Struthio camelus: one gene and its partners. The protein of the gene in region 2 interacts with the protein of the main gene of each other region in a pairwise test. Links are inferred from orthologs where the notes say so. Each region holds a gene or a part of one and is shown on either strand. Other genes may lie near its edges. The genes, in order: CWF19L2, TRIM54, TBC1D22B and RABGEF1.

What was found.
Region 1: the proteins of TRIM54 (region 2) and CWF19L2 interact in binary tests that used the Homo sapiens proteins (3 or more experiments, as listed by UniProt). The two-hybrid records come from large-scale screens. The link is inferred for Struthio camelus from reciprocal best matches to the Homo sapiens genes TRIM54 and CWF19L2.
Region 3: the proteins of TRIM54 (region 2) and TBC1D22B interact in binary tests that used the Homo sapiens proteins (3 or more experiments, as listed by UniProt). The link is inferred for Struthio camelus from reciprocal best matches to the Homo sapiens genes TRIM54 and TBC1D22B.
Region 4: the proteins of TRIM54 (region 2) and RABGEF1 interact in binary tests that used the Homo sapiens proteins (3 or more experiments, as listed by UniProt). The two-hybrid records come from large-scale screens. The link is inferred for Struthio camelus from reciprocal best matches to the Homo sapiens genes TRIM54 and RABGEF1.

What each region holds. Positions count from the first base shown.
Region 1 is NC_090942.1:205,989,149-205,997,051, forward strand, and holds the start of CWF19L2 (CWF19-like protein 2), read left to right. Parts: upstream 1-4,892; 5' UTR 4,893-4,961; coding exon 4,962-5,045; intron 5,046-7,903.
Region 2 is NC_090944.1:1,036,575-1,043,799, reverse strand, and holds the start of TRIM54 (tripartite motif-containing protein 54), read left to right. Parts: upstream 1-4,222; 5' UTR 4,223-4,304; coding exon 4,305-4,472; intron 4,473-6,023; coding exon 6,024-6,196; intron 6,197-7,225. Other genes in the region: DNAJC5G (dnaJ homolog subfamily C member 5G), read left to right, coding at 37-190, 829-911. UniProt on the Homo sapiens protein: May bind and stabilize microtubules during myotubes formation.
Region 3 is NC_090965.1:4,874,863-4,882,318, reverse strand, and holds the start of TBC1D22B (TBC1 domain family member 22B), read right to left. Parts: upstream 3,007-7,456; 5' UTR 2,817-3,006; coding exon 2,761-2,816; intron 1-2,760. UniProt on the Homo sapiens protein: May act as a GTPase-activating protein for Rab family protein(s).
Region 4 is NC_090957.1:15,661,077-15,668,602, reverse strand, and holds the start of RABGEF1 (rab5 GDP/GTP exchange factor), read right to left. Parts: upstream 3,016-7,526; 5' UTR 2,677-3,015; intron 2,574-2,676; 5' UTR 2,554-2,573; coding exon 2,489-2,553; intron 932-2,488; exon of another isoform or gene 806-931; intron 1-805. UniProt on the Homo sapiens protein: Rab effector protein acting as linker between gamma-adaptin, RAB4A or RAB5A. Involved in endocytic membrane fusion and membrane trafficking of recycling endosomes. Stimulates nucleotide exchange on RAB5A. Can act as a ubiquitin ligase.

The DNA of each region.
Region 1 (7,903 bases), on a different chromosome or scaffold from region 2:
CACCATAATATAAGCTTACTTGGTGTTGCCAGTGTGTTTCCAAAAGCAGGGCCCTCGAGGGTGATTTGTGTTTGAAAATGGGGTGAGTGGCAAGATAAACTGAATAGTGTTACCCTCTGCAAAGGATTTGCTGTCAAGAACTGTGACAAAGACTGTGGCTTGGGAGGTCAGGCACATTACTCAGACAGTAGTTACAGCTGTTTCTGGGTCAAGGGCTGAGACAAGGATTGGGTATGAAATTGCCCTTCCCTCTTAACACAATGCTGTAAAATAAAGAAAAATGAAAAGCAATTCCAGGAACTGTTCGGTGAAATTGGAGAGGAGCAAATTGCCTGAGCTGCTGCCAAGAGAGACAATTATGGACATTCTCTGTGGCAGACAAATTCTCTTTACAATTATCATTACAGTGCTGTAGTGCCTTGGAGCCCTTCCCATGGAGTAAGACCTCACTGGTCTCAAAAATTTTTTTCAGTGAGCATTCTCCATTTCATTAGAGAAAGCATTTCCTGCTGTACTCCCATCCCCACAGGTTTTTTGAATCTCTATTGCAATGAAGGATAGATCGTCCTATGATACTTTCACACCTTGAGCCTTGCTCGGGGCACAGCAGCGGCTTTCTTCAGTGTGTGTTTCCTATTCTGATAAAATCTTTTGTTTTCGACTCACAAAAAGAAAAAAAAGCATGCAAAAGCCCCACAAGAAACGTGCTGAACAAATGATCGTTTCGCATGTGTAACGGTACCATTTGCACTTCCTCACAAAACATTTATTAGTCAGTAGTTGTCACTAGAGAATTTCCCAAAGAACATCTCTTGCTATTACCGTCATGCACCTGGGGTGGGGAGAGACAAAATGGATGTATTTCTAAACCTCTTCCCCCTGCTCTTTCTGACCATAGTTGGAGAGAGAACTTGTTTTCAAAGTAGCTGAGCAAATTAACAAAATAGCAGTTGCTTGGGAGCAGACAACTCATGTTTTGCTATTGAATATTGAACAATGGGTGAAATCATTCTTCGATCCCTTACACTCCCCTCATTCATCTTCCCTGTAAAGTGGGTCTCTTTTCCAAGGCAGGCTGTCAGTATCATCAATGTCACAGCGGCTCTTTTGTTGCTGCTGGGACCGCTCTTTTTGATGGACAGTAGAAATTTGTCTGGTTTTTCAATTCAGGCCCTCATTGCACAATTCAGGCAAGAGAAACCAATCACCTGGATGTTGCTACTGCATTGATTTTTGGGCAAGGCATTCTGTCATTTTGTGGCACAGTTGCTTTCAATCTCTGCTGAGGAAACTTAGTAACATTTCTATAAAAGAAAAATACTTCCTTCCATAAAAAAATTTCCATTTGTCCATACTTTTTTCATTCTTTGTTCTTTTCCATAATTTCTCAAGGGACTGCGTTTTCTGTTTCTTAACTGAGCCATTGAAAATGTCCATCCCAGTCTAAGTGATCCCTCAGAACCTAATATAAATGACTACGCAGTAGAAACGGCAAGTGAAAACTGGGTGGTTTGAAAAATGAACAGAATGAGAACTGACTGAAAGTCAGTCCATCCTGACTTATGTGAACCTGCCCTCCATCCGCTCCCCAGCATCCTGTTAGATATTGTGCTTCAGAATGGTGTTAAAATCCAGATAAGAACCTCCCCCTAGCAGTAAGCTGGATTTATCCATTACCTTGCAGCTTCACCGCTGCGGCAAAAAAAGTTTCGTGCTCTCAAAGAACTCCTTTCCCGAGTGAAACACTGCCCTTTGCTTAAAGGAAACTGTGCAGAATCGCACTGAGTGGAGAGGATTTTTTCCAGCCTTTTTCATATAAAAATAAAACGTCAAATGGAGCCCTAAAGGCAAGCAGTGAAAGTTAGCAGCATGGAGGTTTATAACACAGGTCCGCTGGAGAATCGCTAGCTTGACCGTGCAGCTTATTTGAGGGAAAGTGTAAAATGTGTTGTTACATGGGAAATAGTAATTCACTCTGCAAGGTCAGTGCCTCTCTGTGGGGGTTCAGGAAAGAGCAGTAACTCTGGAACATTATTGTTCTATTAGTATGTTTAATTTTGGCAGTGTGAATAAGATGACTGAGCAGAGGTGTCCTGCTGACCATTACAAGCTGTATACCAAAGACTTGTTCTCTAGGTTCACTGCAGATTTCTGAGCATGTGAGCAAGTCTCAGAAATACTAATATGTTAAAATAAATGAGACTGAAGTTTCATTTTACTCTGCTTCCTCTGAGAAAACCCTTTTCTTGGATGAGGAGAGGAAATGAGGTAAAATTGTCATCCCTTTCCTAACTGTTGACCCCATACATTAAAGTCATCTCTCAAAAATCACAAGATGGCAGAATGATTCTATTTTAAAAATAGCTTTTGAATTTTAATTGCTTTTCAATTTTTGCCCTTCTAGAGTGCATTTGTATCATTGTTTCTCCTCTAAAATCATGAATATTGGAAACTTGAATTGAAATGAAAATTTACAGTATTACCTTATTACATGATGCAGAGGGTTATGAATATCAAGAATAATACTGAATATTGCAAAAGCTTACACACTGTTTCAAGCTCTCTTCTTTGTCTGTAACTTGAGGTTGTGGAAAACACATTTCCTGTTCTGACTGCAGCTGCTGGTAGAAGAAGCTATTGTCCACAGCAGTTGCAAACCACACTCGTGTCATAGTTACTGGCCTTTCTCTTCTCATGCAGTTCTTCCAAACACTTCTTAAATTGTTTCAGTCAGAACTGGTTGGTTTGGCTCACGGACTAACAATTTGCTCTTTAGCTTAAATATAAGCCCATGAAGCCAATATACCTGACTGCGCATGAAGAGGGTTAGGGAGTACGCACCTGAACTGCTGGCTGCCTGGAGGAAGTGGTAAAATCTGGGAGGGAAAAGACCCAGTGTATCAGTAAAGAGCATACATCACGATGAGCACAGGCTTTCCTTTCTGGGCAAGACCTGCGCTGTTCTTGCTTCTCCTCTCTCAGCCACAGTTGAGAGTCTTTTGCTGTATAAAGCTAAGGAATGAGCACAGCGTTTGTCAAAGCTGCTGGAATGTCCCTTGTATCCGCCCACTTACTTTGTTAATTGCTTCCTAAAGGGGGCTGATGTGCTACTTTTTCATGCAATGGCTATTAAGCTCTATCAGTTATGATTCTCTGCCTAGTGGTGATCTACGACAGGTTTTTCTTCAGAAGATGCTGCTAATTGTCATAGCATAAAGTGAACAAAGATGCAAATATGATTTACACATTGAATACCATCATGGAGATGATTATTCAGTCAGCGTTACCACTTTTAAAACATACTATCCAATGCAAATAGCTAATGAATTACCCCAACATTTTGCTCAGACTTTAACCCAAATAATGTTACTATTATTTGGCAACTGTGATTACGTTTGGTGGCAGACACACAGTAATGATTTGATCTTGTCCCAGAGAAATTGTGTGTCAGTTAAATACTTGCTTCACCTGAGATTTAGCAGCCCCTGTCATATACTATTGGCCAACTGCAACTTGTATGTACTTGAACACATTTTTTAAAGTTGCGCTTCTCCTGTCCAGACAGGTATTGAGCATTGGCAACCTGCCAGCTATAGAAGCCATATGTTAGCCATATGGAAGCCCCAAACTGGCTGCAAATGGAAGAGAAAGTGGCTGGAAGATAGTTCTGAAGACGGATCGTAGCAACGGGGAGCATCAGGCGCTATGTGGAGTCTGGGGGAGTCTGTTGAGCCACATCTTTCCCTTGCACAGTTCTCCTTAATCTGGGCTCCAGATGAGAAGTCCGAGGCTCAGGTAGAGTCCTTTTGGGCAGCAGCAGCACCTAAGGCTGGAATTCGGCCTTCCCATACCAATACTCTGTATTCATGGCCCTGTGAGTCAAGCGCCCACTAAGCTGTGTGTGCCATGACATGACATATTTGCTGTGACATTGACCTGGCAGGCTGTGGAACGTCTCCTAGAAGTTGGTGTGTGTGTGTGTGTGTGTGTGTGTGTGTGTGTGTGTGTGTGTGTGTGTGTGTGTACGTCTGTAGGTTTGAGTATGAGGTCTGGAGCAGGGCTGCGGGCCTCGGGCACTCACATGTCCCGGCACCAGCAACTGGGGACAGCGGGGATCCTGGGGGCAGCTCCTGGAAAGGCTGAGTGTCTACGGGCAGCTGCTGGAGGGATCCACATCGTATGTTTATGTATATATATGAGCTTTCCACTAATAGGCTTTCATTCTGATGAGCTGGTGAGTGGAACAGCATGAGGCCATCAGCGCTGCTTGTTTGCGCGAGTGCTGTTGTCCGTCGGCGTTCACCTCTGTGGCCACGTTCATATACGTTCATATATTGTATATATTCATATATATGCACGTGCTGTATGCACGCTAATTGGGAATAGGTGCTCAGCCCAGGCTGCACCTGGGCACAGGGGGGTGCGGCAGCCCCTCTCTCTCTCGGGCTGCCGGATGTGGCAGCTCCGAACGGAACTGCCCTTTTCTCGCAGGGGGAAAATGGCGGTTTGCCCTAGCAGCAGGGCAGCACCGAGACAGCCGCAGGCCCTTACACAGCCCTAACCCTGCCCTACGGAAACCTTTCGCGCGGTGCCAGCAACGCGCCTGGCCCGCGGGCGGGCTGCCCGCTTCCTGCGGCGCTTTCGCTTAGAAACCCTTTTTTTATTCTTTTTTTTTTTCCCGGATCATCCGTGCTGCCACGCCCCTCGCCCCGCCCCCGCCGCAGCGCCCCGCCCCAGTTCCACTGCCCCTCGCCCCGCCCCCGCCGCAGCGCCCCGCCCCAGTTCCACTGCCCCATCGCCCCGCCCCCGCCTCAGCGCCCCGCCCCTCGCCCCGGAATCCCCGCCCCTCTCCCCGCCCCAACCCCAGTGCACCGCCCCTCGCCCGCGCAGCTCCCAGCCGTTGTTTACGACAGCGCCGTGCGTGCGGTGAAGCTGCCCGGCGGCTGCTTTACGGCCGGGCCATGGCGTCGGAGCTGGAGGGCGAGGCGCGGGTGGCGGCGCGCAAGGAGCAGAGGCGGCGGGAACGGGAGGCGCTGCTGGCACAGGTGGGACCCCCGGCCTCTCCCCCCTTGCCGGGCAGAGCCTCTCCTCCCTCCGGGCAGCTGTGCCGTGGCGTACCCGCGGCGAGGGGAGGCCTCGGCCGGCGGCCTCCTTCTGCCCGGCCCCGAGGGCGGCCCTGCCCGCGTCCGGGCCCGGTCACGGCGGCCGGGGGCTCCGGGGGGAGAGCTCGAGCCCCTTCTCCCCTAGGGAGAGCCTTGTGCTGTCTGGCCAAAAAGGGGGGCTGGACCGCATCACCGGCAGTGACGAAAAGCTTTTCATTGGCAGCGGCCTCAGTTTATGTGTTTTGCCATTTACAGTGGTATTGATCCGTTCGGTATTTCACTTATCGTGTATGCCAATTCTTACATTTAAAGGCAATGTTTATAAGAAAATTAGGCAAGTCAGTGAACAGCAGCAACTTTGCCAGAACACTTTCATTTCCTCTTTGAAATCAAAGAAGTTCATGAGTATAAGAATAGTAAAGGAGCGTTTTGCATGACGTCTGGAGCCTATGGAAAGCTCTGTGTAAAAAGTTAACTTGGAATACCTTGGGTAACAGATTGCACTGAATATCCCTGTTCCTCTCGATGGCTTTCTTAATAAATAATGTTGAAATGCAGCTCTTCAGAGAAAACTCTATTGCTTGGTGCCATGATGCATTGAACTGCCCTGTCCTTCTCATTTTATAGAAAGTCCCGTTCACATCCCACTTTTACAAGATCAGATTGCGCTGTATAATGTTTATTTTAAGATTTGTTGAAACCAAGTAGTTGCTGTTCTTAATCATGCTTAGGAATACTTGAGAGCTAGCCAGAAAACAGAGCTTGTTGTACTTGGCACTATACAAATACAAGGTAGTATAACTTCAGAGAGTTTATATAGACAGAATAGCCACCAAGTGAAGCAACAGATATAACACCAGCTTGATGACTTCCTAGGGAAATGTATGTGCTTATAATTTATTTTTTCTTCAGAAGGTAATATAATGGGTAGGTAACAACTTGGACAGAAATGGGAGAGCCTGTTTTCGTGGAGCCAAGATATTAACTGATTGGTTACATCTTGCTGTAGCGTGAGCCAAGAGTTGGAAGTCTCCCTCTCATAGATGTTTTTGTCAAGTTGCTGCTACTATGAGAGCTATGTTAGATTTTATTTGAAGCCTGCTCATATGCTATCTTTGATACTTGTGCTGTAAGCTGCTGATTCTTGGTATGCATGTAGAGTGCATCCAAGTAGAGTGAATGATAAAGTAGTAAATGTCATGTTTGTTCCGTTGCATGATTTATTTTGAAGTTTAAGGACTAGGAGATAACTACATAGAAAGAAAAGTGAAGAAAAGAGTAAGAGGAGAACTGTTAAGGAAAAAGTCTAAAGTTGTGGTGACGGACTTTCAAGAGAAGGAAGACTAAAGTAAGCAGCAAACAAATCTTACTGGACAATACTGTTTTCAGAAAAAAAAGGAATTGGAAAGTGGCCTGAATATCCCAAGCGGCCTACAGGGTAGCGATGTTCTTCCTCAAGGTAAAGTCAGAGAGAAGACTAGAAGTAATATGTTGTGTGGGTATCTCCCTTGCACAGTTAGGGATCTAGGAGCGTTCTAGTGGAATATAGTAGGCGATAGGATTTCCCTTAAGTAACTTATTTGTTGAGTGGGATGTAATTACACTGATTCTGTGCTGTAGGAAGGGTGCATTACAACCTTGAATCTTTTCCGCCTTTTGACAAGCAGTTAAAGGAAATTCCTTTGACTTGGTAATAGTAAATAGTACCATCCTGTGAAAGTTTTACTTTTCATTTTGTTTTGCATTTTTCGCTACATTTAAGTTGTTACTAGGACTCCTGCTTTGCTCAGTTCAACCTCTTGGGTCTTCAGAAAATACTTTTAACTGGGAATGTTATGTAGGCTGCCATTTTCCTATCTCACATTTTCTTCCCACTTGCTGCTGCTTGTACTGCAAGCTCTCTGGGACAATTTTAAAAACCTTTTACTCATTTTACCTCTCATTTTAAAAACCTTTTACTACTACAGTAGCAGTAGTTTATTAAATAACCATATTCCTTCTTTTTATTTCCTTCAACATACGTCAGCAGTTTAATATGAAATAAAGTTCTTCTGTGAAGATGTTTGCAAATTTTTGGTGTAATTTCCCTTCCCGAATACCTGTGGGTGATTTCACTTCTTTTGTTCGTATCTGTAAAATACTGTTAATTTTGACTCATAGATACAAAAACATCACAAAAGTGTTTAATGTTATAGTAACGGGATTGTGATATTAATTATGCTGCAATCTCTGAAAAAGCTCATTTGCAGGTAGCTTTAACCTGTCATCATGCCCGTTTAAGTTCAGGGAGACACAGTAAAGCTCAGGAATTGGTTTTGGTTGCAGTAGTGTTGGAGAAATGCTACAGCAATGAAATAAAGCAGCTGTCATAGAGGAAAAGGTTGAAGTGGCTGATGTGAACGCTTAGTCGTCCAGAGCATGTGAAGTAAGAGGTGGTGAAGGTGGTTTTGCCAGGGTTTGAGTTGGTACTAGAAAGCACAATATCTTGAGCGCACTGGCTACAGTTCCACTGTTAGGATGTCTCGAAGTCCTTGATGATACTGTAGCCTTGTAGGTCCTAACTGTCTGTTCCACCCATTCTTATAGGTTTGGATGCTGTTCTTCAGCTTTGTTGAAGACTATTAGAAAAAACATGTTCTGAGGTTTTAGGATGAAACTAAATCTAAATCCTTGCCATCAGAAAAAGAAGGACAAAGCGGAAAACAGACAAACCAAAAACCTAACCTCTTCTTGACAGCACTCCCTGAAGTTTTATGTAGGAAAAAATTGCAAATGGGAAATTGTTTTTTTTTGTTTGTTTG
Region 2 (7,225 bases):
GCTCAGGTGTCTCACAGCGCGCCTGCCCCCGCGCAGGCCCTGGGTCTGTGCTGTGGTATCATCACCTGCTGTTGCTGCTGCTGCTGCTGCTGCTTCTGCTGCGGGAGGTGCCGACCACCTGAGGAGGACGAGTCCTACAAGTATGTCAACCCCGAAGACCTGGAGGCGCAGATCCGTGCGGAGGACAACAGTGAGTTAGGCAGTCTCTGTTCCCTTTTGTGTGCCCAGCTCCTGCGTCTGGGAGTGCCTGGCTTGCTCCTGCTGCACGGGGTTTCTGGGGGAGGTCTGGTCTTGTCTGGGGAGACCGGGCTCTTGTTAAACAGTAGGGTCTGACTTAGCATCATCTGCTGCTCAAGGGCTGACGCTTGGTGTTTCCAGCTTGGGTCTTGGCTGGTGGCAGCTGGTAGAGGGAACTCTTGCGCAGGGTTCATGGAGAATATCTTGTGCTTCCTTGATTTCCCTTGGGAAAGGTCTCCCTGAAGGCACAGCTCTGGGATCTAGAAATCCTTGGGGAAGGAGCGTGGGGAGAGCAGCCGTGCTCTAGGCTGGTCCCATTCCCAGTGCTGGTAGGCAGTGGCTGTGCTGGTATCTACAATCTGAAATACTCTGGGATTTGGAGTGATCCTGGTCATCTCTGCAGGCTTCCCTGGGGTAGGGGGCACTGCTGGAGTGGCTGCGCGCTGGCTGGAGGTGTGGGCCCTTGTCAGATGGGGCTGGAGAGCTGTGGTTCGTGGGAGGCTGAATGAGGGTGCTGGGATGTCACAAGCAGCTGTTTCCTGGCACCGCAGCATGGGATTTAGCCGCTGACCTGCAGGTCTTCTTTTCCAGATGTGCAGACACCTATTGTGGCCCAGCCCCCACCTGCTGGAGCAGAGCCGTCGCCGGGTGTCAGCACCAAGACGGACGCATGAGGCTGGCCTCAGCCCCGCCAACAGCCCCAGGACTCTGGGCAGGGATCCCCCTTTGGGACTGTCCCTCTCCAGGACCCCTGTCGTGCCACCCAGGGTGGCTGTCCAGCCTCACTGTGGCTAGAATCTCAGGTTAAATTAGCCAGCATCAGTGCAGAGGCTCTTGTGCCCCTGTTCGAGCTCCACAGAGATACCCTGCATCCCCGCACTGGCAACAGAGGTGGCCTGGAGCCCCTTGCTGCTGTGCCCCATCCGCAGTGCCTCTTCTGCTGCTGTGTCCCAGCCCAGCCCTGGGCGCTAGCTCTCAGGTGAGGCCCCGCTGAAGGCAGACTGGATCCACTGTGACTGGACTAAGACTGGAGAGGCCGGGACTGGCTCCCTGCTGGGACCAGCCCGGTGCGTGGCCTGGCCGCTCACCAGCAGCACCGGGCGCCCCGGCCCGTGTGCGCCTCGGCCCCTTGCTGCCCTGCTGGCTCTGGCTTGACTGGGGGCCGCTGCTTGCGGCTGTGGCGGCAGCCCGTTGCCAGAGCCGGTTGCTTTCCTTGGGGCCCAGCAGCGCGCGGAGGCCGCCTGGCCCAGGCTCCGCAGCCTGCAGGAAGCGGCCGAGGGTATTAGAGACCATTAGCACTGTAATCCCTGGGGCTGGGCTGAGCCCGCTACCTGCCCACGTGGGGACCCTCCTTACGGGTGCTGGGTGCCAAACGCCGCTCGCGGGGCTGGGGTGCGGCCTTCTGTACCTCCTTGCTCTGTGCCCCCGTGGTCGCGGGGCGCCGGCTGCACCCCCTTCTGCCTGTTGCTGGCAGGCTCCCTGCAGGGCTGGGCCCAGGCACAGGCACTTTCCTTGGGTTTGTATAGGTTTTATGGGCACCATTAAAGGATGATGGGAGGGGAACATGTTTCTGTGTGGTCTCTACCCCGGCAAGAGCCGCCTGAACGCTCTCAGGCGGTGGGACGTGCCCTTCCCTGGCTCTGCCCTGCTCTGGCTGAGAGCCGTGGCCGTACCATAGGGGTGGCGGGCCGAGGAAGGGTCGGTGGGTCGCAGCCCGAGTGCTGCCAGAGGGGACAGTTGGCGACAGGAGTGAAAGTTGTTCTGCCTCCTGTCAGCTTCCGGGGAGAGCTCCGCGCCCTCCCGAGGGTGCTGCCCAGCAGGGCTCCAGGCCTTTCCCGGGCCCTGCGGCTGGGCTGGGCAGGGCAGTCCCAGGGCAGCCGGAGCCAGGCTGGGGCACCCTGGTCCTGCTGGGCTAACGGGGGCGCTGGGAGCTCCAGCACCCACCGGTGCGCGAAGGGACTTGTCCTTCCTCCTGCTGCCGACACGCTGTGCCGCGGCCGCCCTCTTCCCCCTCCTGCCCGGGGCGGGAGGCAGACTGTGGCCCTACAGCCCTGTGCGGCCTGGATCTGTCCCCGTGCCGCTGGATGAGGCGCTGGGGTGCCAGGCTGGCGCGCCGGGGCTGAGGCAGCGCCCGCAGCGGTGCGGCGTGCCCCTGCGCAAGGGCCAGGCCTGCTCTGCGCCTGCCAGAAACAGCTCGGCCCCCCCGGCTCCGCTTCCACCGCTGGCAGCGCGTGTGCCAGCTGATGGCTCCGCGTGCGTGTCCCGGATGGTCCCTGCCCTGTGCCAGGCTGGGAGAAGGGGCGAGCGGGCTGCCCTGGCCCTTGTCTCCCAGCCTGCAGCTGTGCGCGCTGCCTCACCCACTAAATATAGCCGGAGTGTCAGGGCAAGCGGTGCGGGACGGGGGTGTCCCTGGCACCAGTGTTGGCGGGCGTTTTTCCATGTCGGTGCTTGGGGGGGGCTGGCTCTGGCCAGGGCTCACGGGACCCGAGCCTGCTCCCAGCTCCGTTATCTCCCGGGAAGGGCATGTACCCTCCCCGAGTTGGGCAAGAACCTGGCCGCCAGGCAGCTTTGTTCCTCCTGGGCCTGGCGGGCGGCTGAGCTCTGCTGACCCTGTGCCAGCCTGGCTGGAGCCTCCTCCCCACCCTGCTGCCTCGGCCCGGGCAGGGGCCCCGGCCCCGGCCCCGTCTTTGTTCCTGTGGGGGGGGGCTGCAGGGGAGCCCTGCTGCCCTGAGGGTCCCCAGGGAGCAGCTGGCCTGTCCCAGGGGAGCAGTGCAGGCAGCACAGGGGGGGTCTGCCCCACCGCGCGCTCGAGGCCGGCTGCGAGGGGGGAGGCAGCCCTGGGTCCTGGGATTGGGAGCGGGGATGGCACCTGGGAATGGCGCCCGGCATGGTCCCCTGCTGTGCTGCGTGGGCTGGGGAAGGGACTGGCAGGGGGTGGTGGTGTCCTTGCCTTCAGGCCAGGGGCTGCCGCTGGCCCCGTGGGGCTGTGCCCCCGCAGCTGGCCGGGATCCGGAGCAGAGGCAGAGACAGGGCTGGGGGGCCGGGATGGGGTGGTCCTGGGGGGGACGGAGTGCGGGGCCAGGGGGACCGGGATGGCATGGTCCCGGGGGTGATGGGGTGCGGGGCTGGGGGGGCCGGGATGGGGTGGTCCCGGGGGGGACGGAGTGCGGGGCCAGGGGGACCGGGATGGGGTGGTCCCGGGGGGACGGGGCATGGGGCTGAGGGGGGCCAGGGGGACCTGCCGAGGGCCGGCCACGGAGGGCAGCCGGGGCAGGGGAGCGGGGCCGGGCGCGTAGCCCCGGGGGGCGTTGCGGCCCCCTCCGGGCGCCGTGACTCAGTGTCACCCGACGCCGCTGACAGCTGCCGCGGCCCCGCGCAGGCCCCGGGCGGCTAAAATTAGCGCGGGCGCAGCGGGGCGAGCGTGGGGCAGCGGGGCCGGAGTGAGAGCGGGGCCGGCAGCGGGGCGAGCGTGGGGCAGCGGGGCCGGAGCGAGAGCGGGGCCGGCAGCGGGGCGAGCGTGGGACAGCGGAACCGGAGCGGAGCCGGGAGCAGAGCCGGAGCCGGGAGCGGGGCCGGAGCGGAACCGGAGCGGGGCCGGGAGCAGAGCCGGAGCCGGGAGCGGGGCCGGAGCGGAACCGGAGCGGAGCCGGGAGCAGAGCCGGAGCCGGGAGCGGGGCCGGAGCGGGGCCGGGAGCGGAGCCGGGAGCGGGGCCGGAGCGGGGCCGGAGCGGGGCCGGAGCGGAACCGGAGCGGGGCCGGGAGCGGAGCCGGGAGCGGGGCCGGAGCGGGGCCGGAGCGGGGCCGGAGCGGAACCGGAGCGGGGCAGGAGCGGGGCCGGAGCGGAGCCGGGAGCAGAGCCGGAGCCGGGAGCGGGGCCGGAGCGGAACCGGAGCGGGGCCGGGAGCGGAGCCGGGAGCGGGGCCGGAGCGGGGCCGGAGCGGAACCGGAGCGGAACCGGAGCGGGGCCGGAGCGGAGCCGGGAGCGGGGCCGGAGCGGAACCGGAGCGGAGCCGGAGAGGAGCCGGGAGCGGGCCGGGCCGGGCCGGGCCGAGGAGGGCACCGCGGCGATGAACTTCGCGGTGGGGCTGAAGCCGCTGCTGGCGGAGGCGCGGAGCATGGAGAGCCTGGAGAAGCAGCTCATCTGCCCCATCTGCCTGGAGATGTTCACCAAGCCCGTGGTCATCCTGCCCTGCCAGCACAACCTCTGCCGCAAGTGCGCCAACGACGTCTTCCAGGTGCGGGGCGGCCGGGAAGGGGGCCGGAGCCGACCGCGACCCACCGGCGGGGTTGGGGGGCAGTGAGACCCCGACCCACCGGCAGGGGGGGGCAGTGAGACCCCGACCCCCCGGCGGGAGGTGGGGGACAGTGTGACCCTGACCGGCTGGGAAGGGGGCCGGAGCAGACCCCGACCCCCCGGCGGGGTTGGGGGGCAGTGAGACCCCGACCCACCGGCGGGAGGTGGGGGGCAGTGTGACCCTGACCGGCTGGGAAGGGGGCCGGAGCAGACCCCGACCCCCCGGCGGGGTTGGGGGGCAGTGAGACCCCGACCCACTGGCGGGAGGTGGGGGGCAGTGTGACCCTGACCGGCTGGGAAGGGGGCCGGAGCAGACCCCGACCCCCCGGCGGGGTTGGGGGGCAGTGAGACCCCGACCCACCGGCGGGAGGTGGGGGGCAGTGTGACCCTGACCGGCTGGGAAGGGGGCCGGAGCAGACCCCGACCCCCCGGCGGGGTTGGGGGGCAGTGAGACCCCGACCCCCCGGCGGGAGGTGGGGGGCAGTGTGACCCTGACCGGCTGGGAAGGGGGCCGGAGCAGACCCCGACCCCCCGGCGGGGTTGGGGGGCAGTGAGACCCCGACCCACTGGCGGGAGGTGGGGGGCAGTGTGACCCTGACCGGCCGGGAAGGGGGCCGGAGCAGACCCCGACCCCCCGGCGGGGTTGGGGGGCAGTGAGACCCCGACCCACTGGCGGGAGGTGGGGGGCAGTGTGACCCTGACCGGCCGGGAAGGGGGCCGGAGCAGACCCCGACCCCCCGGCGGGGTTGGGGGGCAGTGAGACCCCGACCCACTGGCGGGAGGTGGGGGGCAGTGTGACCCTGACCGGCCGGGAAGGGGGCCGGAGCAGACCCCGACCCCCCGGCGGGGTTGGGGGGCAGTGAGACCCCGACCCCCCGGCGGGAGGTGGGGGGCAGTGTGACCCTGACCGGCTGGGAAGGGGGCCGGAGCAGACCCCGACCCCCCGGCGGGGTTGGGGGGCAGTGAGACCCCGACCCCCCGGCGGGAGGTGGGGGGCAGTGTGACCCTGACCGGCCGGGAAGGGGGCCGGAGCAGACCCCGACCCCCCGGCGGGGTTGGGGGGCAGTGAGACCCCGACCCACTGGCGGGAGGTGGGGGGCAGTGTGACCCTGACCGGCTGGGAAGGGGGCCGGAGCAGACCCCGACCCACCGGCGGAGGTGGGGGTTAGCAAGACCCCGACCCACCGGCGGGAGGTGGGGGGCAGTGAGACCCCGACCACCGGCGGGGGGGGCAGTGAGACCCTGACCGGCCGGGAAGGGGGCCGGAGCAGACCCCGACCCCCCGGCGGGGTTGGGGGGCAGTGTGACCCTGACCGGCCGGGAAGGGGGCCGGAGCCCGTGTCGGCCGGCGGCGGCGGGGCGCAGGGCTGCCCGCTCCCCCCGCTCCAGCTCCCGTCCCGGGGCGGCCGGGGGAGAGGGGCTGCCGGTGCCCCGGGGGGGGGGTCCCGTGTGCCTCGGGGGGCCTGTGACCCCCCCCGTCCCCCCTCCCCAGGCGTCCAACCCGCTGTGGCAGTCGCGGGGCTCCAGCGCGGTGCCGTCGGGGGGCCGGTTCCGGTGCCCGTCGTGCCGCCACGAGGTGGTGCTGGACCGGCACGGGGTGTACGGGCTGCAGCGCAACCTGCTCGTGGAGAACATCATCGACATCTACAAGCAGGAGTCGGCCAGGTGCGGCCGGCCCCGGGGAGCCCACGGGGGAGCCCACGGGGGTGACCGAGCCCCGTGGATCTAAGGGTGCCCACGGGGGAGCCTGGGGTGGCACCGGAGGAGCCCACGGGGGGAGCCCACGGGGGTGACCGAGCCCCGTGGATCTAAGGGAGCCCACGGGGGAGCCCACGGGGGAGCCCACGGGGGAGCCCACTGGGGCAGCCGGGGGTGGCACCGGGGGAGCCCACGGGGGGAGCCCACGGGGGTGACCGAGCCCCGTGGATCTTAGGGTGCCCACGGGGGAGCCTGGGATGCCACCAGGGGAGCCCACGGGGGGAGCCCACGGGGGTAACCGAGCCCCGTGGATCTAAGGGAGCCCACGGGGGAGCCTGGGGTGGCACCGGGGGAGCCCATGGGGGGAGCCCACGGGGGTGACCGAGCCCCGTGGATCTGAGGGCGCCCACGGGGGGGAGCCAGGGGTGGCACCTGGGGAGCTCACAGGGGGAGCCCACTGGGGGATCCTGGGGTAACCGAGCCCTGTGGATCTAAGGGTGCCCACGGGGGAGCCTGGGGTGGCACCGGGGGAGCCCATGGGGGGAGCCCACGGGGGTAACCGAGCCCCGTGGATCTAAGGGTGCCCACGGGGGAGCCTGGGGTGGCACCGGGGAAGCCCACGGGGGGAGCCCAGGGTGACCGAGCCCTGTGGATCTAAGGGTGCCCACGGGGGAGCCTGGGGTGGCACCAGGGGAGCCCACGGGGGGAGCCCACGGGGGTGACCGAGCCCCGTGAATCTAAGGGTGCCCACGGGGGAGCCTGGGGTGGCACCGGGGAAGCCCACGGGGGGAGCCCAGGGTGACCGAGCCCTGTGGATCTAAGGGAGCCCACGGGGGAGCCTGGGGTGGCACCGGGGGAGCCCACGGGGGGAGCCCACGGGGGTGACCGAGCCCCGTGGATCTAAGGGTGCCCACGGGGGAGCCAGGGGTGGCACCGGGGAAGCCCACGGGGGGAGCCCAGGGTGACCGAGCCCTGTGGATCTAAGGGAGCCCACGG
Region 3 (7,456 bases), on a different chromosome or scaffold from region 2:
TGATACCCCCAAGTGATGCTCAGTAAACATTTATTTACTCACTCGTGTCTGTTCCCCCCCCCCCCACCTCCCATCTAGCACCTCAGCTCTGCTAGATGAATGGAGCATCCCCAGATGAACTTTGTCTCTAGCTGTCTTCATCCGACTGTTGCATGGACGGAAAGCTCAATGCAGGCACTACATTTCAGCACACACACCACTGGGTCAGGAGTTGAGTCCTAAACCATGTCCTCAGATCTGTGCCACTGAACTGGCTGGACAAGTCAGTCCATTGCACTCTTCTATTTTAGTTCATGCTCTTTGGGACAAGGCATTTCTCATTACCTGTACCTTCAGTGCCCCGTACAACAGCCTCCCAGTCTCCGCTGTGCTATCTGCTTTACACTTCTCATGAGCAGATCATAACAGTGTTTGGGTTAGTGACACTGCAGCAGAAAGCATATCCATGAAACCTCGGTGCCATTCCAGAGACAGAACATATTTTATTCCCAGTGGAGCCTGCATCTCCCCTTTTAAAACAGCAATTAAATAAAACTCCCTGGTGTCTTGCCGCCCATTTCTCTGAAAAGCAGGAAATAATCAGAATGCACCCCACAGGATAACATGCTAAACCAACCTGACAAAGCACTCCTAAAAACTTACTGGAGTGAGAATTCCCACTGTGAGAACACAAGACGTTACTGGCAACATGAAACAGCATTTACTAGTAGTGCCACAACACTACGTCTCCAAAGAAAAAGCACCAAGTAAAAGCTAATAAAACTAAGCAACCAAATTCACAAAATATCACAGAAAAGGAACCTAACACTGTCTCCAAATCTTTACAAAGCCCTCCTCTGTGAGCTTGTCAGGGCAAAGAATGGAAAGAGTCAAGAATCTGCATGGGAAGATCTCTCAAAGTCCAGACCAAAAATTGGAAAGGGAGCATCACATCTAGTGACCATGGACACAGCACGTCCGACTTCCACCCTTTGCAGTTGCGTTGTCCATTAGGAATGAGGTCTCCAAGATCCCTGTAAGTAACTGCCCCTGGGAAGGACAGGTACACAGGATATTTAAAGGTGGCAACCAGCCTGCCTGACACCAGGCGACAGACGGATACTTGCAAATTAGCCTGTTAGGAGGAGGGAAGAACTCTGCCAAATACTTGACGCTGAAGCTCATTGTCTAGGCACGACTGACTGCCTCCCAAACCGGTTCATCTAGTCTGGGCTTTCCAAGCTGAAGCCCAAAGTCATCAGCCGTGGAAGAGAGATGCTGTCGTAGAGACCACCAGCTGGAAGCACAGCTGGGACCTCCTGACAAAGGTGGTCACCAACAGGGAGAAGAAAACACCCATGGATGGCACTGCATTTTCTTCCCCCATGAAGAAAAGAAGAACATGCTATGCTTACTGCTCGCCCTTTGCTTGACACAGATCTGGACTGTCCCACAAACCTGAGGGAGCTGGAGCAGCAGCAAAGACTAAGAGTGAAAGCACATTAGAAAGAGAATTAACTGGCCTAGCAGGATTTAAAGCCAGCTAAGCATTTCAGAGTGCACATCAGGAGGGGGCAGCAGGGTTCAGATAAGGCAAACAGGAGCACGAATATAGTAGAAAGACTGAGGAGTATCGAACTAAAACGTAACTTGTGAAAACCTCCTCAGAGAGGTGGGTGCCCTCTCCCCACCCTCCCTGGACACTGCCTCCATACAGGAACCTTGCTCTCAAGGCCATGTAGGAAGCATCTCCTTCATCGCCACCAGCCCCTTCCTCTTGCTCTGCTTGAGCAAGACATTTTACTCATTCCCCTCTCCCACCCGCAGGTGAACACAGATGCCTCAACAGGAAACAGGACACCACACCCGGAGGAAACCAAGCAGGGGAGGTGCACACAGGGATGCCCCACAGGCCCAAACAGTGGAGGGACTGTCAAAAACAGCAGGGTATCAGGAAGAGGTGGACCAGGAGTGACACCCCACGTAGCAGAGGATAAGGAGGGGGGCACCTGTTTCGGTAGGGGCACCTGTTTGGGACAGGGGAGCTGCTGCCCAAGGAGACACCGCTAAGGGCTTCGGAAAAGGAGAAGGCTTCTTCAACATCTGTGGAGATGAGCATGTTTCAGCCCTGGCTCCAGGGCTGCCCCAGAGGCAGCCCGGCTACAGGAGGAGCCTTACAAGGCCCTGACACCCTCCGCAATGCTTTCCATGGGGCAGGGGTGCAGGTGGGGCTCCCCACAGCCCCCACACAAACTCTCCTGCCCCACAGATGAAAGGACAATCCTGACACCCCCTTTCTATTGGGGGGCCTCCCCAGCCCAACTCACCCCCATTGCCAGGAGGGCTGTTCCCAGCACCCTCTCCCATTACAGGGGGGCCCCTCAGGCCGCCCCCTCCCTGCCCCATAGCCGGGGGGGCTGCCATGGGCACCCCTTCCCCAGGGCAGGGGGGCTACTCCGGGTCCCTCAGCCCCACTTCTCCCATTCCATAGCCGGAAGGGATGCCCTGACACCCCCTACCATCGCAGCCCCCCCCCCCCGCCCCACAGCCGAGGGGTTGTCCCGCCCCCCCCCCAAGCAGGGGGCTACGCTGCCCCTCAAGACGAAGTCATAGCCGGGGGGGGGGGGGACATGACTCCTGCCCCCCCGCCCCTCCTCTCGGCCATGCGCTGCCCCGGCCCCCCAGCCGGGAGGACACGGCCTCGCCGCCCCCCCCCCGGGCCTGTGGGGAAGGGGCCGCTGCCACCCGCCGCCCCGGCCCGGCCCGGCCCCCCGCACTCACCTGCCCGGCAGCTTGGCGCTCCGCTTCCAGAACTGCCGGCCGCTCTCGGCTGCCATGGCGGAGGGGCGGGCCCCGGCCGGCCGGCCAGCCAGCGAGCCAGCCAGCTAGCCCACCGGCCGGCCGGCCCCGCGGCGGGAGCGGCGGAGCGCGGAGGAACGCGGCGGCCCCCCGCAGGCCGCCTCACCGCCACCCTCCCGCAGCTCCCGGCGGCGCCATCTTGGATCCGGGCATGGGAAGGGCCGCCATTGGCCGCTTCGCTCAAGGCGTTGCGGCTCGGCCAATCGCCAGCGGGAAGGGGCGGGGCGAGCAGGAGTTGGGACGGGGCTGCAAGAGGCGGGAGAGACCATATGCGGGGCAGGAGGGGATAAACCATCTCCGCCCCGGGTGGGGGGGAGGATGGAGCGAACCATTCCCACTGAGGGGAATAGAGGGGACCCAAAATCGGCTATGAGGCGGAGCTGCCTCCCTGGGCTGGGAAACAGGGAGAAGCCATCCGCGCGGGAGACGGGAGGGCGGGCGGATAGAGTTAAACGTCGCGCTGGGGAAGGGGACAGACCATTTCCACTGCGGGGTGGGAGGAGAGGGGGCAGACTCGTCAAGCCTCTTGCGTGGGGGGGGGGGGGAGTGGGCGAAACCATCGGGAGAAGGCGGGGGGGTGGCAGAGAGGAGAGGCGGGTAAACGGCCGGCCGGGGGAGGGAGCGGGTTAAACCATCTACGGGGCGCGGGGGGGGCTGTACCATGCGCACGGCGGGGGGGGGGGAGGGCGCCTGTCAGGGCTGGGCCGTGACAGAATCCCTGTCCCGCCTCGGGGCGGCTGGCCTGGCACGACGGTTTTTATGGCACCCTCAAGGATTTGAGGCCATTTGGGGCCATTTCCAGCCCCTCGGTCGTGCCACAGGAACCTGCTGTCAGGGTTGTCCCCTCATAAGGACAAGCAGGGTGGGGGGGGGAAGCGCCATCATGGGGCAAGGCGTGAGGCGCCTCCAAATGCCACCCGCCCAATAGACACGGGGTGGAGCGGGGGGGGGGGGGGGATAAACTAGGAAAAACACAGCGTGTTTCACAGCACATTTCTGCTTTATTTATTTAATTTATTTTTCCGCCTTATTCCGGCCGGTGGGCGGCTGACGGCAGAGGGCGGCACAGGCCCGTGGCTGGCTGCGCCGCCCGGCCTGGCCTGGCAGCCGGGTGCCTAGCCGTAACCCGCCATGGCTCTTCCCCTCTCCGCCGGCCGCTCTTGAGGCGCGGGCAGAGGTTTCTGGGGGAAGCGAGCCTGTAGCTTTCGGTTCCAGGCTAGAACGAAAGCCCAGAGAGAGAAGAATCGCTTCCCTTTCCCAGGCCGAGGCTCTAGCGGAGAAGGGAAACTCATCGCTAGCAAAAAAAAAAACAAAAAAAAACAAAACCCCAGTGCGTTTCAAGGCTCCCAGGCGCGGGGAGATCACAGCCCTGCTGGTCAGGAGCTTGGTGCCTTGGGCGAGCAAAGTTCCCCGAAGGGACCCGGTCCGCACGTGAGGGCATCCAGGGTGCAAGAGTCGCTCCTTCGTCCCCAGGCTTTGCGCATGGTTAAAAACGTCGGCCCGCAAATCACTTCATCCTGCGAGGGAGGTCTCGCTCCCAACGTTTCCGCAAGGAGTTTGGGCCCTGAGGCGGGACAGGGCCGCCGGGGCTCAGACACGGCACGGCTCCTCGGCCCGAGCACCTGCGAGCCCCGCTGCTGGCGGTGGGCAGCTGGGTGTCTTGCGCGCGGAGAAAGGGAAACCGGCCCGTGGAGGGGGTCGGAGCCGGCCAGAGAGTCTGTCCGTCTGTCCTAGGGCCCTTTCAGCGGCCCCTCGTCCCCCGGTTGTCGGCGCTCCCCTCCGTCTCGGCTGGGGGGGGGATGCGCGTGGCTGCCGCCGGCCGGAGGCAGAGCTGCTTGGTGGAGGAGTCGTACCTCCCGCTTTTCCGCTGCGATTCACAGATCATCTTCTCCTGCTTCGTTTACTGCCTTTATCAAAGACTTTGCTTGCAGACACCCTGCTAGGGGAACAAGAGAGCGTCCCCCTCCGCCCCGGCAGGGGAAGGTGGCTCCTGGTCCCTGCTCTGTTCCCCCCCCCCCAAAAAAAAAGCCGAGCAGGAGAGAAAACCCACCCAGCGGACGGGGTGGTGGGGAGGGATGCCAAGGACCGAGCTCAAATCCTCAGCATCCCCAGCCGAGCGTGTTGATTGCCGTCCGGTCTCAGCTGGCGACTGCAGTCACCAACCGGGGCCAAACCGACCCAAACCCACATGGTTTGGGGGGGGGGGGGCACCTACACGGACCGAAGCGCTCGCGCACCCATGGGCGCGCACGTGCGCCGGCGGGGTGGGGGGGGACACACGGAGCAAGCTGCTACCAGCAGCAGCCCCGCACGGAGACTACCGCTGTCGCGGGGCACGGGCGCAGCGCGGTGGGGAGCGCGGGGGCGGTTTCCGCCGGGGGGGTGGGAGTAGGTACCGGCGGCTCAGGAGGCCGCGGGGGGGGTCCTGGCCTCGCCGAGAGGGCTGGGAGGGCCGCGAAGCCTCCCGCTCGCCCCGCCGCCGCCCGGCCCCGTTTCTCGGCGCGGCTTGACCTGAAATGACGTTTCGCTGCTGCTGTTTTTCTCACAGGCTTGGCGGCGGCGGCGGCGGGGCCGGATCGCCTTCCCCGCAACCCGCTCTCCCCTTTCGAAGGCACCCGCGCTCCCGCCCGCCCGCCCGCCTGTCCTTTCAGGGTAACTGAAATGGCTGCTTCGGTTTGAAACAAGAGCTTTTGTTTCATTTTTCAGGTCGCTTAACCCCCTCCTAACCGGAAAAAAAACACAGTGGTTAAGGACATCAAAATATTACCCTGGAGGAAGGGCACAAAAAGCCTGGGAGAAGGTGAAAGAATCGCTTTGATCCGCCCTTTTGCTAATTTTGACTCAACTTTACGCAGTGGAAAGGTTTTTTTCTTTTTCTTTTTTTTTTTTTTTTAACCCGAACAAAGTGTTTTTTTCCTCAGGCAAAACCCCACCAACGCTAGGGACGAGTGATGCCCTTTCGGGGTGTAACAGAGGCCGGGCTAGGTCAGACCCCGCTCTCAGGAAGGTCAGTGTCAACCCCGCGTGGCTTCACCGAGCCGAAACACGAGACTCGGGTCACGAGCAGGGCTCCAGCTGCCCGAAACCGGCACCTGGCACAGCACGGGGTTTTCGGCGGCGGCCTGGGACGGGACACCAGATGCTGGCCCCCGGGACACCCCTAACTCAGACCTAACGTGCACGGCGGGGGCTAAGCCCGAGCCCAAATTTGCTGTTACCGGCAAACTGTTTTTTTTTCCTGAGCCTGCGGAGGGATGCTCGGCTTCTGCATCCTTTGCCGCGACCTGGCCGGCCGCGCTCCCCTGGGCGCCGCGTGTGCGGAGAGCCCGGGCGCCCGTAAAGAAAGCCGGGAAGCGCTCGCTTTCACTGGCTGTTGGCGCTTCCCCATGGCTATCGCTTCACCTGCGGCAGCGATAGGGCAGCCCCGCTCTGAAGCTCAGCCGCCGAAGATCTCCAGCGGGTCAGGGCGCCGTGCCTCAGTTTCCCCACGTGCCCTGCGGAGATGACGCTGTTGCCACATAGGACGTCCGGAAAGCGCTCGGAGACCGACTTCCACGAGGCTTCGTGACCAGGGAGCCGAAGCCGTGGGACACCTGGTTTGCTGATAATTCATCTCCTCCTAAGGCCGGCGTTTAAAATAGCTGGTGTGACTCACCGTGCCGAGAAGGGCCCTGGCCGCGGGGTTTCGGCTGCCGCCTCGGGGGCAGCTGGATGTTTTCCTCGTGACGGGACGCGGGGCAAGCTCCCTCGGAGTCGCCTGCCCTGCCGGAGGTGAACCAGTTAGGCGGTCCCTGCGACGAGCCTGGCCCGCTCCCCGGGTAGCTTTTCTGCCCGGTGCTCGCGTGCGTTTTTTCAGCCGTGTCAGGCCTTTGGCTGTTGTTAGTCTCCGGTCCCCGGAAAAATAATGTGCAAAATACACATCCCTTTTGCTCTGCCTCCCGGGGTGACTCCAGGCCCCCCCCCCCGGCCAGTCCTTTCCAAACGGCCGAGCGCCTTCAGCTGGGGACAGATGTTTACAGCTGTAGCCGGTAGTCCCATCCGTTGCTCAAGGAAGGCAGAGGCGTGATGAGTGCTGGCCCTTGGCAAGTTCTCGGCGCTCCCGGAACGGGAGGCCGAATGGCCTGAAATCTCATCCTGGTCCTGTTTCATCTTTTTGTTTTTGCTTTCCACGTTGCAGGTACTCCAAGATCCTGGCCGAAACCGGGGAGCCATAGAGAGTCATGCAAGGGAGATGGGAGAGCAGCGCTGGCTCAGAATCGCTCCCTGCTGGATAAGTCCCAAGGTTTTGTCCCATCTGGCTCCCGGGAGGACCGTGGAGGGGGACTATAGGACAGGACCAACCTCTTGTCCTCTCTTATGGTGGCTGATGGCCCCAAAGGACAGCGAGTCCTCGCTGGCGAGTCGCAGGGAGGAGGAACCGAACCGTCCGGCCCGGGGTCCCTCCCTTCACCTGCTTCCCAACAGTGCCATACCGCACGGCCCCTCATGTTTTAGCTTGTTGACATTAATATTTAAGTGTAACCCCCCCCCAACCCACGTATGTGCTTGTGCATGGGGGGGTGGGGGTGGCTAAAAGGGCCTTTTCCTCTCCTCCAGCCCCTTCTCCCCACGGTCTTGG
Region 4 (7,526 bases), on a different chromosome or scaffold from region 2:
TATTTTGTAAAGCGATCTTCTGAATTGGTACATTTGGCTTCACACTCCTATATTTTCTTCTACTGCGCACCACTTTGATTTTCACCAGGAAAACACTGCATCAAGCTACCGTCCTCTTCCTAATCCTCTCCCCGCAAAACACCTGTGTAACCCTGCCCAGAAGGCCAGCGCATTCGACTCCTGAGGCAAGCTCTGTCCCTGTAAGATGCTGGTTCCTCTTAAGCGGAGAGATCGCTAGTCTCTGAAGTCCCTTATCGACTGAAGGGGCTCTCAGGTAACCGCAAACACCAAGAACCGGCCGGCACAGACCCCCCCGCCCAGTACTGATATAAGGCGCTGCCGATACGAAGCACCACTTCGAAGGTCACTTCCTAACTTTGCGACTGACCCAGAACAGCGTGAGAGAGGGCGGCAGCACCGGGCTGGAGCCAGAGCTGCCGCCCCGCCGCCCCAGCCCCGCTCCATCCAGCCGCACAGGCCCCAGCGCGGGGACCGCGGCAGCCCCAACCGCAGGGGACTTAAGATGGTGCCGAACCACACCCGGCCAGCTCCGTCCTCGCTCCCGGCCAGCCGGAAACCTGCCGACGGTTCCCTCCCTCCCTCCCTCCCTCCCGGCAAACACAACCGCCCCCTGCTTCGAGGCGGCGGCCCGAGCACCGGGCCGGATGCTCCCACAGCCGCCGGCGCCCGCGACAGCGGCCGAGACGCCGGCAACGCCGAGAGGGCTCCACGCTCTCGGCCGCGGCGAGGAGGGAGGGAGGGAGGGAGGGCGGCGGCCCCGGCCCCGGCCCCGGCCCCATCTCACCGGCGGCGGCGGCCCCGGCCCTCCCGCCCCGCTCGCGCTGCTCCTCCCGCGGCGGCGGCGGCGGCGGCGCTGCCCTCCCGGCGCTTCCTCCTCTCGGCGGAAGGGCGCCTACGTCACTTCCCTTCCGGGGGGCGGGGCGGGGCCGCGGAAGGTGCGCTGAGCGCGCCGGGCCTCAGCCGCCGCCGGGCGCAGGGAGGCGCGAAGGCGGCGCCCGGGCAGGCGCCAGCGGTTGCAGTCATGCCGTTCTTGGTTAAAACGTCGCCAGTGAACGGCTTTTCCCTTCGTTTTAGCGCTGCTGGCAGCGGGGGGAAGCTGGCGCTTGGGCGCTCGCCGCCCGCTCCCCAGCGGAGGGCAAAGGGCGGCGGCCCAAGCGCCGCGCTGCGAGGCGCCGCGCGAACGCAGCGGGCTTACGCCGAGGGCCGGCAAACGGCTGCTTCCCGGCCGCCGCCACAAAGCTGCCGAGGGCCAGCCGGAAGGCCGAGGTTCTGGCGGCGCCGTGACCCAGGCGCCGAGGCGTGGCCGGGCCGCGCAGCCTGCAACGGCCGTTAAAACACCAAGAGGAAAGAACACCGCAGGCCTTCAGACGCTGCGCCTGCGAAGAAAGGCTCCTTCGCCCCAAACGCGCTGCAAGAGCTGAGAAAAGGGAAACTCAAAATCACTGGCATGTAAAAAACACTGATGCTTGACCACAGAGCTCGACCACGCTGGAAAAGGCTGCCAAAAGCTCGTCAAAGCTGTCCCTACGGAAAGGGTCGTGCCCAGACTGAGAGCGCGCTGCGAGCGGTGCGGCGCGACCTGCCCAACCCAGGGAATAAGCTGGAAACAACTGTGAGCAATTCATTCAGTTTTCAGGGCTAAATTTTCTGTCGGGGTAACAAACTGAACTAGCTCACTGAGGAGCCAGACAAGCGTCAAAGCCGATGCTGGAGAAGCAGCAGAAGTTCCCCGGTCAGCCGCAGCAAACTGCTAGATCAGCTCAGCTGGGTTGTGGCAGCTCGACGCTGGTTACGGCTAGGCAGGGTACAAGCACAGCGGTTTTTTTACGGCGCGTTCACAACAGAACAGACTACGCTCTGAAGCTGGTTGAATTACTTGAATCAGCTTCTGTTACAGGTTGACAAAGCAAAACCTTTGCGAGAACCCACCGAGCCTACTGAAGAAATCCTTGTTACCTGAGAGACCCTTGAGGGAACAGCAATCTCGTAGGAAGGGATTAATGCTAGACTAGAAGTCTGCAGATTCGGGAGAAAGGATGATTTTCATTAGCTGTATTCCGAGCGGCCTGGCCTGGAGACAAGAACAGAGCTACCACACACGCCTGACTCAAACGTGGTCTCGGGACCACAACATCAGGGCTGTTCCACACTCTCTGCGTTAGATACAAGCTGGAAATAGGAACAGTTTGTTCCGAACAGTTTGTCCCAAAGAATGGGAGAGAATAGGGAGATTCTCTCTCATTCTTTGGGAGAACCTACATGTCTTTGGGGGTCCTCTTCGCTGTCTTGGAAGGAGCAGAAACAACATTTGAACACAGGCATCCCTGCTCTCCTTTTAGGCACAGTAAACCAACTCCCAACAGCTTTGTTTTTAAATCACAACACAGGCATTTTCCAGATCAGACAGCTCACACGAATGCTTAGGAGTTTTATGTATGCTGATGGCAGCAGGAACAGAAATAGTTACCGTGACTGCTGTTTAGCCGTTTCGCTGTCGTCTTCCCCGCCCCTCCTTCCCCTCCATGGGCACATGGTTTTGAAAGCAAGTGTTACTTTAGTAAGACAAAAGAATAGCAAGAAAATGGTATTTTAGTTACTTCTGAAAAAAAAAACTCCCCATTGAACCCAGTCAGCTCAGCAAATGCGGTATCTTACTTTTTTCTGTAGCATTACACAAGTGGAGAAAGCTGCTCAGACCTCGGCGCGCTCTCACATGAATGGGTGGGTATGTAGGGAAGGAAGTACAACTCGAATTATCTGTCTGATACAAGTTTGTCTCCCTGAGGAGACTGCAGACGCTGCATAAGTGCCATCTGTTAAGGAAGTGATGATGAACAAGTTACTGGTTGGTGCTATTAGAGAAAAGCTCGAGAGAGTCTGGTGTCTCAAATTTCATTTCCAGTCATGCAAGTCAAACTCTGTTCACATGGAAAATGAAAAGGGGGAGTGAGTGTAATACTTGTGAACCAGATTAGCCAGATTCCAACAGTTTTCTGTTTAACATACTTTTATTTCACAACACAAACTTTATATACACATCATCTATATATTTTAAATAAAAATACATCATTATATACTTTACCTGAACTGAAGAGCTAAATGTAGTAAATAAAATGCTACCGTACCTACAGTATTAAACATCACACAACAACTTATTTAAAATAAAACACATTTGGAGATAATTCCAATCCTTAGCATCCAGACTGGATTTTCAAAGGCATTAAGGGCTAACAATGCATAGAGACATACAATTTATAATTCAGCAAAATAAAATCCATTTATAAAAGTCACAGTGAAAGTATAGGTAAACTTATACTAAACTTGTGTAAGTAAAAGGATTAAGAATTGTTCTGGAAAGCAACTTCCAGTAAAGATACCTATACACAGAAATAAATAACAAAATGTAATTATCCTCTGAAACATAGCTTATTTGCAGAAAGAGAATGAAAAACCGGACGGTTTATTTTTTTAAAATCAAATGATGTTCCCATAGCCTAGAACTCGGAACTATCCTAGGTCCCCTCTGCTGTGCATGAACAACCTAAAACACATGCAATGGGGCAGCCATAAATAACCAAAAAGATCAATGCAACTCCAAGGCTCAGTAAGGCCAATCAATACTTAAAGCCACCGGGGTCTACAGACCGCCCACAGCTCCTAAAACGAGGATGATGAAAGAAAGAGCATGCCCCACAGGTTATGATGAGTTCAGAAATGATCTTTCTACATTCTTTGCTCGGCAGTCTGGTCTGCCGGGCAACTGTGTCCCAAGCTTTAATTACTATTGCCATGCAGAAAAGAAACATCCACTCTGCAAGTGGTGGCATAAAGGTCCTCAAACCTCTGAACAACTGCTGCTGAAATTCAAGTAGGATGACCCAGCAGCCACCTCCCCAGTCATTGCTGTATTTCCCAGTTCAATCCAAGGCCACCTAACTTGATACATCACAATACTTAGGTGGGGAAATGGATGAACACAGGCCAGGACAGCTGGGCTGTCCAGCTTCCAGAAAGACTGGATCCTCTGACTGACCTCACAGATAAGCGGTGATGAACGTTCCTCTGCCTCACACCTCACCAGAGTTGAAATAAAACAAACAAACCAAAAAACCACTGTACCATACAAACGATCAGCTCTGATATGAGACTTGCCCTGTTGGCACTTCTGTCATCTTTCCCATCAGGTCACCCGTCCCGGGTCATCTATAAACAAGAACGAGCAGTGAAAATAAAATTGGGCAGGAAGGTTCCCAGCGGTTGCTAATTCAGTAATGCCCCATGGACTTAGGAAATCACGACCATTTACTATACTGATAACTTTAAACACAAAACAAAAAAAGAGAGAACCACAGAAGGCAGTTCATGCAGTTATCCTCCAGCTCTTAAGCAAGCAATCAACAAGACCCTCAAAATCGTAAAATACAAGCGCCTAGCCTAAATATGTATCTCTGTTTAACAAAAAGAAGTCTTAAGGTTTTAATTTTTTAACTCTTTAGTAAAAAATGAAATGGAAGAGTGAAATTAATGGGATTATGAAATACATTTTTTTATTAATTTATTCAGATATTTTTGTCAGTCCTGAGAATTTCACTGATTCTTTAGCAACTATCAGTCACTAGCTTGTAATACTAAAGAGAATCCCTTTAGGTTAAAACGGACTGGCAGTTCACCTTGCAAACAAATTTGAGGGTGCAGCAGACAGTAGTAGTAAACTTCCTGCCCTTAGAGCCATGCTTCTTAAGGGTTAGAGCAAAGGGCAGGGACCAAGAGGAAATCCACTCAAGAGTCATTATCTCACTGCGAATCTTCAGGCCGGACACTTGATCTCCTTCTGCCACTTACACTTCATCAGAAAAGTGGAAATGGGGGGGGGTGTGGAGCAGGATCTCACTGAAGTCCTCCTTCGGGGCCGATGAGGAGTATCCCTGGGGAAAACACACTGCAGAACTAAATCCCTCTCACTTTCATTTTTGCAATAAACGGCGCACGCTTAATGCGCAGGATACGCTTGAAACACTCACTTCTGCGGGGCAGCGATCAGCAGCCTCAGCGGCCTTCAAGATTCACCAAGAAAAACACAGATATACCGGGAAACATAAATAAGAGAACTGGCCAGCTTCCCTGATGTGCAATACATGCATTGAAACAACTCGGCTCAGAACGTATTACTGTTTAACATAGCAAACACTTAAAACAGTTGCAAATCTTGACATCTTTCAGCGTTTACTGGAATTTTAACAATCCCTTTAGTAAAGGCCGATTACGTGCTTACACAAATCAGTGCATTTCTCCTGTAACTAGAAGTCTCTGACTTTTCCTTTCAAGGACTTGTACTAACCACATCCAACCCCGTGACTACTTCGTTTCGCTGCTGAAGTGACACTCATCTAAGCAGAGCGCCGGAACGGAGGCTGCAGTTGGATTATCGAGTACGAACTCGTTCAATGGACTCATTGTTAAGTAAGAGCGCCTATAACTGTAATAGCCTTTGCCTTTCCATATATTGAACACCTCTGGGATAAGTGTTTTTACCAGACGGGGTTGGGGGGGTGTCTAAAGAACAAGGAGGCTTTTTCAGACACCTGATGCTGAACTTTCCCTTAACTCTCATGGTAGTTTGGGGGAAGGGGGTCGGGAGGGGTAACAGAACGGGACAACAACAACAAAATCACAAAAATATCCATACCAGCAAATTCATGTATTCGTATACGCTATATTGTAGGTGTCAATACATTACTAAATTAAAAAAAAAAAAAAAAGCCCCCTCACCAGTGCAGAGACCGATCACTGATTGCAGGTTTGGGTTAAAACGGGCTTGCAAAAAACATCGAGCAGCCTCAAAAGAAAACATGCGCCAGGAAGACAAGAGCGAATCTCCTAATGGCTCAAAGGCTTGTCAGATAAACGACGCTAGCACCTTCACTCTCCTCCAAGAATGCAGAGTCAGGAACGAGTACCTCAGATCACTGTATAGAGTATTGTGGTATTCAAGTTAAGAAGCTCACACCAAGTTGAAAAGCTAATGTTGCCCTTTCTTGTAACTCTTGAAATCAACAGTCATTAAGTGGACACATTACATACACGTTGAACACACAGCACTGCACATAAAGATCTTCTCATGTCATTTCTTGAGTGCTTTACAAAAATGAGTAGGTATCCTCATTTTACAAATGCCAAACCAATGCAAAAACATGCTTAATGTGCAGTGAAACTGGCCAAGTCACTTAATGTCAGAGCTGATAAAAGGATCTCTTTTCGCTCCATGTTAAAAACCACTACATACACAGGGGACATTACAAGACGAGTCTTGTTAACTGTTTAGACATGCAGCAACCTAAAAACAGCCAACGGTTCTACTTTTCAAATAATTACCCCTCAACTGTCCCACCATTACCCCGTTATTCAAAAAAAAAAAAAAAAACGCAGAGAAATCACTGCAATCCAGATATGCAATTTGTGCTTTGAAAATATTTGAGAATTTTTATTTGGGGGGAATCGGGGGGGGGGGAGTTGCTTATTATATGCATGTTTCTGTACATCATTTAGGAACCAAAAATGGCATGCATCCTGTCCCAGAAAGCTAACTGAGAAGTATCTCTCCTTCAAGTTGAATAAGCTAAATGGACTGACATGTATTGTCTTTTCGATAATCTGTACACAACAGTCATATCAAAATTATACTGATGACATGAAACCATTTACTGCATGACCAATTTGTCCAAGAGCATGGTATCAGCTCGCACAGGATTTAGGGGTGGTGGTGGAAAAGCAGTTATGTAGATATTAAAGTTGTGGAAAAATCAAATAAGAGCAGCATAGAGAAATAGGTAGGAATGTTCTAGCAAGTCTCTGGCCTAAGTAGACATGAAGAAACATACCAAAGTAAAGAAAAAAAAAAGCAGTATTACATAAGCATTTAGTTTAATTAGACAATCATATAGCATTCATGATATACAAAAACATCAATCATCTTAAACATGGATTTAGTAATCAGCTACTCACATTTTCGTTGCAAACGAAGAATTTCAAAAATTATGCTATATGCCAAGAAAAGATAAGTCAATAATGTTACATAAACCAGTTATTATATTCCCCTGACATCCTCCTGCACAACTCTTCTGTTTCTGTCAAAAAACGAATACATATTAGGCAATATCATCTAAATCACTGTAAACAAAGACTGCTTAAAACAAGTGTAGTCAATAACAATATTGTTAACTTGCACAAATCACAAGACACAGACTGTATGTGTTTAATGAAAGCCTGTTGGCTCACATCTGTGTTTTCTTTTTTAATATTGCACTTAATGTTTCCTGTCTTCTGGAGAATCTGAAGAATGAAAGTTTCAATTAAGATGCAACTGATACAGGCCAAGATTTTAATTTTCATCTTTTGGATTAGATATTCTTCCTTACTTGTTTTGGTTTTTAAGTAATAAACAGGAAAAAGTTATAAAATATCAGTGCATGAATGTTAAGAAATTGCAAACGTGATCGGAAACAGCA